Linked DNA regions of Oryzias latipes. The protein of the gene in region 1 purifies or fractionates together with the protein of each later gene. This does not show direct contact. Links are inferred from orthologs where the notes say so. Each region holds a gene or a part of one and is shown on either strand. Other genes may lie near its edges.

Region 1 (4,104 bases):
GACTGACCCACGCAGCCATAATGTGATTAAAGGACAGGTGGGCCCAGGATTACCCCACTGGCCGTGCTTATTGGATTGAGCCAAGTGGGTTATATATCATCTATTGTTCCCGAGTGGAGGCATTGACTGGCAATTCACAAAATTGAATTTATAACTCTGCCTATGATGAATTTCGGCTCCTGTCCCTCGGTTAATGGCCCCTTGTTTGTCTTGCCTTGCTCTGCCAATACCGAGAAGTGTTGCTGTTTGCTGGCATGCAGAGCGGCGCAGTAAACACCAGCCTGCTCTCTTATTGATTGGGCGTTTGGGAGAGAATGTCAAGCCTTGGCCCGAGCTCTGTGTTTAACTGAAGACACAAGGAAATACCTGTGAGGTAGCAGGACGACAAGACGCTGAAAGGGGGGGGGGGGGGGGGGTTACAGCTCTGCATAGGTTGAAAGGAACTGGCCGTTAATTGACTTGCTCCACTGAAATGGGCGTAGTTCCTTCTTAACAAGTGCTAATTGCTCAGCTCGGAGAAGGAGAACAAAGAGAGAACAGCGTGGCGGTGCAGGGAGTGACATTTAGTTTTCTGTGCTGGAGCTGATGGTGGGTTGCTTAATAATACAGCAGCCCTCTTTAAAATCACAGGTGGTCAGTTTCCCTCTGCCTTTTCTGAGCAGAGCTTTAAAAAAACTCGGTAAAATAGCAGTTTTCTGGGGTTGAGTGGAAAGTCTCAGCTCACCTGAGCGACAAGTGAGTTTCCTTCCACACAAACCCTCCTCAAATGTGGAACCAAAAGCCCATTTTCATGGCCAGCAAAAGAGCTTCCAAAACATGGAATCATATTCATCAGCCTTCATCTGCTTTGGGTCAGAACAACCTCAGAGTCTCAAGCAGGAGATTTGAGTCACAGAAATGAAGAGATGATATTTTTAAACACTTGACAAACAAAAACACCTGGATTCCGAATACCATAAACAGATCGAGAACAATAAAGATTAAAGATTATGTGTTCATAAAAAGACTTTCCTGCATCAAACGTTCATTCTCTATCTGTGATCATACAAATATTTTTATTCAAACTTTGTTTGAGTAACTTTGTTTCACTAATTTGTGAAAAATAAAGTTTGAAAAAGTTTATTCTAAAGATGCAGATCATCCTCGCAAACTTCGTACATCGCATCTCCATCGGTTAAAAAGCTGATCCAAGTTCAAGCCAGCTAAAGTTGCAGTTGACATGACATGAACCTCCAACTGTTGCAGGAAAGTTTGCTGAGACTTTCTCAGTGTGGAAACTGAGAGCTGCAGAGCGCAAACGTTTTCCTTCAGGAGGTTTTTGGAGGCTTTTAAAACTACTTTATCAGAAATGAAAACAAGAGCCAAAGCAGACCATCACAACTGTGTTTGGGAGCTTGAGGTGGAGGTGTGGCGTTGAATGCTACTTACATCTCTGTCACATTTTCACTCTCCATTGGGTCGAGTGGTGGGATGCTGGTGATCCGGTTGGGCTCCAGGCACTGCAGCATGGCAAATGAACAGCGGCAAGCCAGAGGGCATCTTCCCAGAGCGGGCACGGGCGACAGACTCAGGATGGCGAGCACCAGGGGTAAAAGAAGAGCCAGGGCCTGGGCTGCTGCAGCCATCTCCACGAGGGGTCTCCTCAGCACCACCAGGCAGGTATGGTAGCTATAGCTGGAGTTGGAGTCTCAGCGCTTCACTTAAGTGAGCGTAAACAAGAGCTAGCACACACTCCTCTCTCTGAGATCCCAGCTGGTCGGGGTCTGGTAACACAGCTGTACTGAGCAGCAGGAGGGGCGGCCAGGCAAGGAGGCTGAGGGCCCCTGGGGACATACTGGTAGTGGGCTGGAGCCTCTCTATTTCTCCCTCTCTCCTCCAACCTCCACGTGAAGGGAGGAGCAACAGAACATGGCCAGGAGTCACCAGACACCTCTGGGAGCAGGATGGTGGATGAGGGAGGGGCTGGAGGGGAAGGGTGTGTGTTGATAATGAGGAGGAGAAGAGGGATACAGTGATGGAGATCTCCTCTGCCCCCGTTGCTCCATCCCCCCTTCTTGAAGTGTGAGCAGAGGCAACAGTTCAGGACTCCGGGGTCCTGGATGGTGTGCATCAGCATCCCCCTCTGTGTCCTGGGACAGCCAAAGGGCTGGTGAGTGCTGACATGAAGCGTCAGGGATGATATTAATGTCTGTGGGTGGAGGAGTGGAAACTCACTCAGGAAGACGTGAGGACTCAGAGCAGAACAGATTTTAAAGGAGTGGAGACCTTCCAAAGCTTCTGCTGAGCTCATTTATCAAAGCAAAATAACTTGACTCAAGTTTTCCATAAAAAAGCATCAGGGGATCCGCCAAATATCTGGATTTTTTTAGGGTTTCTGAGGTATTGGAGGAGGGAAAAAAAGATAAAAAGCCTGTAAGAAAGTCCAAGGATTCCTATAGTGCCTATCCATCTACTACTGGGCAAAGGTGGAGCAAACAGGTTGCCAGTCTGTTGCAGAGCCACAGATGCGCACCTATAGGAACAATTTCTTATCCTAAATTAACCCATGAAGCATGTTTTTGGACTGTGGGAGGAAACCGACACATGTACAAGGTGAGCATGCAAAATCCACTTAGAAAGGTCCTAGCTGGGACTCGAACCAGGATCACTGTGGGGTGAGACTGTGCAGCCCACTGTAAAGAAATGATAGAACAAGAATAACAAAAAACTATGAAAAATAATGGAAAACTTCATAAAAAATCAAACTGATAATGTTATTTTAGACCTAAAGTAGATTAAAATCTCAGAAAAATCAAAGTAGTGTGCTGCATGCCATAACTCCTATGATCCTACAAGTGCTCTCATGTCTGCCGCTTAGATATCCATTTACTTTATGATCTCTATAGGAGCAAAGCCCCCCCCCATGGAACACAAACTGCCTCCCACCCCCATTCCTCTTAGTCATGAGTAAGGTCATGGTGTCTTGACCACAATTACTGGCCATGAGCGCAAACGACAATTTCTGCTGCCATCATCAAGTTTATCTGCTGGCTTCATTACTCCCCCCTTTTATGCCCCCCCATTTTCTTTGTCTTAGCTCAGCAAAAAGCGAAGAGGGACAAGGAAGCACTTATTCCCGGGAAAAGTGTCTGAGAGCTGAAGTGTGGCAGTTAAACAAAGAAAATCCTGTGGAGCAAGGGAATGCAAAGATACCCACATGAAGTCAGTTTGCAAAATGGGTTCGATTATCAGATCATAAAGAATTTATGTCTCCAAAGCTCCCAAACACAGACAACAGAAGTACAGATGGTTTAGTTGAAGGAACTAAACTGTCTAGAAAAGCAAACTTCTGGAGGATCAGTCGGTAACAGAACAACTGGCCCCTCCAGGCCCTGTCCATGGTCCTGGAACTGCACTCACGTTTAGTGACTGTAAAGCTCCAGACAACATTTGGAGAGCTTCAAATTCTGAATAGTTAACAGATTATAGATCTAGTGGTACATTTAAAGTGACAATCGTAGCACAATTATACAGAAAAAGAAGCCGTAAAAAATTAAGGAATTCAGTCAAAGAAGGAAAAAGCTGAAAAAGGGAAATACTTCATCAAAGCGGTTCAGGTAGAACCGCAGGTCTGCTTGTAGCTGCGCTGCTGGACGCAGATGGAAACAGTCTTCTGAAAGCTGAAGTGAACTCCATCTTTGTCACAGTCGCCTCCAAACTTCAAGAGATTTCCGTTTCTGCACTTTTTTCCGATGGACCATTTGCTGCTTAAATCTCGTGAAGTTGTTTCGTTGACGATCTCTGAATGAAGGAATTTGATTAACTTTCTGCTCGTCAATCAGGAAAAGTGGGAAACTTGCTGGATTCTGGCAACAAATCAGAATGGGACCTAACATCTCTGACGCTGGGGTCATCTTCTTATGCAAATGTCAGTGCAAGTATCAAATGTGAGGACAGGAACCACAGCATAAAACTAGATCTTTAAGTGCTGCTAATCAACTAGGGATGAACTAATCAATGAAAAAAAAACAAAAAAAAACTCCCCGACACCTTTTATAACAGTTTTTTTTTTTGCATACTTAAAATAGTGTTTGTTGTTTTTTCCAGCATTTACTGAGCCGCTAA
Region 2 (4,057 bases), on another chromosome or scaffold:
AACCTCATTTACCAGCTGTTCTATAAAGCTCATCAATCAAGCAGTTTGAATGATTATTTGAGCACAAGTCAATGTTTTTGTTGTCCTGAATAATGTAAAAGACCCGGAGGAAAGAAAAAAAAAAAATCAAAACATTGGAACTTAACGGTGAATGTTGTACAAATGTCACATAAAATATCTGTTGCAAAAAAATGTGACAATGTTAGACTTAAGCTTGCAACTATGCACCAATACCAACAAAGCATAACAAATGAAGGAAAAACATTCAGCTCAGGCGATGCAGAAACACAGTTTGTTTTTGTTGTTTCAAATATGTGACTTATTACACATTTATAATTCAAATTTGTACTCAAAAAGTTTAAAGAAATGATGGTGTTTATTGGCAAGCTGTTTTACATTAAATGAGACTGGGGTACAGTAAGTGAATACAATTGCAAACAACAAATCCATTGTGATCACTCCTTTGTTTCTTCCGGCTCCCGTTTCACCTCTTCATAGGTCCCTTCTTCCTCCTTTCCTTCCCCAGAGTTGGGGACCCACAGACCTGAGTCAATGCAACGCTTCATATGATGTTTTGCCTCCTAAAAGACACGACAGTCACATGTTAACAGGGATTTCTTAAAAAAAAAAAAAGCACCTAAATCCAAAAAGATTCAACCAGACAAAACTGTATAGCTTACAGTTGGATCCATTTTACTGATGACTTCTTGTAACATTTGGATGTCCTTCTCATCAAAGCATTTCTGCATTTCCTGTGGTTGAAGGCAAACTATGTGAGCATTTCAAACTCAATAGAGACAAAAAATGAAACCCTGCTTGTTAGAATGCACTTACAGCAGGCAGCGACTCATACACTTCAACTGGATCCAGGCCTCCAGGCCCCAACCGCTTCTGCCGCTCCTCTTCCTCGTATTCTTTCAGGGCCTTTTCTATGCGAATCTTTGCTCTTCCTCTCACCCGTTCTTTAAACGCCTCAAGCTCGTCGTTAAAAGCATCTTGGTATTGCTGATCTGCGGTCTGTAAGAAAACAAATGAACAAATGTGAACATTCCAAACCAGAAGTATAAAATTTTACAGAAACTTCTGGTAAAAAAAAAAGGACTTTTAAAATAATCTGTTTTAGTCCAGGAATAACAGACAGACTGCCTTTGATTTTTGTACTGCTTGTTTATGAAAGCACCCTTTCTTTTCCTGCCCAAACATCTTCTTTAAAATGAATAAGTTCAGAGCAATTAAACACAATAAAATTAAATAAACTTGCTTACTTTAATCTTTGCAAAAAACTGACGGAAGCAACCGCGGGGATCCACTTTGAGGCTTTTTGCCAACTCAAGAATGAACTGCATGACAATGGTCTGATGGGCCACCTGCTCCATCAGTGCGTGTTTCTGCAAATAGGAAAGCAAAGCTTTACTAAGAAATGAAAAACCTAAACAGCTGCAAACAGGAGCACACACTTTGAGGAGAAGATATGCTAAAAAACAAAGATACAAGAATATAAAATAAAAATATAAGTATATGTGTTTACCTCCTCAACTTCCAGATCAATGCACATGATGACGAGATAGTTAGCGGTTTCTTCACATACAAGATGAGGATTGTCAGAGAGATACTTTTGGCTGTCGTCCCATCGTCGCAACATCCCTGTAAGTTAATAAAAATAGACTTAAATTGTTTTTAAAGAAGGGAAAAGACAACAGAATGACCTTATGGAAGTTACTCAGGCTTACCGAAATGTTTAATCTGCTTCTCGTGTTTTTCAACAAATGTTTTGTGTTTTTTCTCCTTTTCTTCTTCCGTATCTTCCGAAGTTTCAGGTTTTATGTTCACTATGCTCTATAAGCGAGAACAAAGATCAAGATTTGACACCATCTAGCATTGATTTGAAATAACTACTTTGTTTATAAAATGTCAACGGACTAATGTGAGCTTCATTGGATTTTCCAACCTCTTGCTAGAAAACCACAGGTTTCTATCTGCATATAGAAGTCACCTTGCTGAACCCTTCCTTGCTGAGTGTGTCCACGTTCCACGGCATCTTCTTCTCCTCCCTGTAGTACTCATCCAGCTTTTTCTCCCAGTCCCGCTCCTCTTTTTTCAGCTTCTTCTCATCGGCTTGGTATTTGGTGAGCTCTGTTTTGACACCATCGGAAAGGTTCAGGTCCTGGATCTTTGTCTGTAACTCCGTGAGTTTACGCCGACATTCGGCGAGTCCTTTTTTTAGGTCTTCGCCTTTCTTCTGGAATTCTTCCATTCGCTCCACGCGCGCCTAAGGAACAGATCACACGCGTGAACATCATGTGTAAACAATTTCAAATACTCATCAGCTCTTGTCCAGTTTGAGTTCAAATTCAGGAATCCGAAGTAAGTAGGAAAATTAGCATGGCTGAAGAATTACAAGCAGAAAGTGAAAGCTAACGATCACGCTAAGCACTTTTCCGAAAAGCTTTTATATTTACCTGGTGTCTCCATCTGAAGAGACTGGGAGTGTCAATATTTGGGTGGGTATCATCTTCATCATCCGATACCTCAATGTGATCCCACACGCTGTAATCTATCCTGGACATCCTGCAGCAAGAAGAAGCAGCGCTAGCTTCGACTAGAACTCGGTTAAGTTGGCGTCTAAATCACGCTCGCTAAAATACCGACCTAAGAAATATTCACACTCGAACCCTTCAGAAATGTGTGTTGGTGCTCTGTGTTTCTGTACTCCAAATTTGGTCGTGCGAATTGATTTGTTACTCCCAAGCAAGAGCTAACGGGAAGCTGCTACAGAGTTCTAGAAGAAATTCTCCCCAAAGCTTCCGTTTACGTCATACGTAAGGCGCGTACATTGTACGTCGTAATTTAGACACCGGAAACAATGACCAAAAACGGAAAATATTTGGTTTTCATAGTTTTAATCTGAAAGACTGTGATGCTTTCTTTTGTATAAACATGTTGTTATTTATGGCTAAATTTGATATTCATAAAAGCAAATTCTCCTATAAAAAACTGATTTATTTGTGTTAAAACTGGAACTGCAGCAATATTTAAACTTAATTTCAGCTTCAAAAAACACAAAAGCTCAAAAAACAATTAACATTTGTAAATCTTTTGGAATAATAACACAAGTTTACTCTCGCATTTTCTCTTTTTATTTTATCATTTTTTTTCTATGTTTAGTTCTATTTTCTTTATTTATTTTAATTTTTTATTCCCTTTTGTGATTGTTAGAAATAATTAGAATCTTCTTAAGCATGTAACACGTTTATTCTGTATTCAGAATTGTAATGTACATTATCTGTGCATAATTGTTGCATTTCTTTGTTCTGTATGTTGCAATTGTTCAATAAAAATTAAAGAAAAGGGAAATTATATTTAAATATAAAAAAGAAAGAAAAGCACCATGACCCGAATGATTACATTTTTCAAGGCGAATTAAGAATAAATTAGAATGCTGATCTGAACACATATTAGAAGATTATTATTTTTACATATAAGATTTAGAAAATGTACCTACGTAATATGGTAAACTAAGAGTATGATATTCATTTGCTTACTGCTATTTTTCGTTCTTGATATAAATGGCCAGATATGATTTTTATATAGTTATGTTTCAGATATAGATGTGTGCTCCAGACTGATAGATGATAATTTAGTTTGTCCGTTCCCAAGAAGGAAAAGTTCAAGTTCTAAGAAAGGAAAACAAGATCAGTTTGTGAATGTTTTCCTTTTTTCTTCATCGCCGGTGTTGCGATCATAACCTGTGACAACACGTTTGAATAAAATAGCTAGAAAATGTTCAATCTAACAGAGAAAAGAAGATGAACTAGACAATTTTATATACTTTTTATTTCCATTGAATGCAAGTCATCAGCAGGTGGTGTCAGCTATTTTTGCTCGGTTTGAAGTTTGTCAGTTTGGAGTCTTTGAAACCTGAGCAGCAGACGGAGTTTCCAGTTTGCGCTGCACAGCACCGCTGCATCTCTCGGATCACATCCTCGCATTTACTTTCCACATACTTGTTAGCTGTGAGATGAGAACAAAAAGTTCACAAATTTGTTTGAGATTTGCA

Evidence for each region.
Region 2: the proteins of ntrk1 (region 1) and cdc37 purify together in Homo sapiens (affinity purification with mass spectrometry; 3 studies listed by BioGRID and IntAct, with this or other methods). This does not show direct contact. The link is inferred for Oryzias latipes from reciprocal best matches to the Homo sapiens genes NTRK1 and CDC37.

The regions. Positions count from the first base shown.
Region 1 is NC_019874.2:29,079,822-29,083,925, forward strand, and holds the start of ntrk1 (high affinity nerve growth factor receptor), read right to left. Parts: upstream 2,809-4,104; 5' UTR 1,626-2,808; coding exon 1,429-1,625; intron 1-1,428. UniProt on the Homo sapiens protein: Receptor tyrosine kinase involved in the development and the maturation of the central and peripheral nervous systems through regulation of proliferation, differentiation and survival of sympathetic and nervous neurons.
Region 2 is NC_019866.2:8,383,058-8,387,114, forward strand, and holds the start of cdc37 (hsp90 co-chaperone Cdc37), read right to left. Parts: upstream 2,809-4,057; 5' UTR 2,650-2,808; intron 2,569-2,649; 5' UTR 2,568-2,568; coding exon 2,460-2,567; intron 2,270-2,459; coding exon 1,994-2,269; intron 1,837-1,993; coding exon 1,731-1,836; intron 1,645-1,730; coding exon 1,529-1,644; intron 1,389-1,528; coding exon 1,266-1,388; intron 1,018-1,265; coding exon 835-1,017; intron 753-834; coding exon 681-752; intron 582-680; coding exon 456-581; 3' UTR 1-455. Other genes in the region: cmc4 (cx9C motif-containing protein 4), read right to left, coding at 3,869-4,011. UniProt on the Homo sapiens protein: Co-chaperone that binds to numerous kinases and promotes their interaction with the Hsp90 complex, resulting in stabilization and promotion of their activity. Inhibits HSP90AA1 ATPase activity.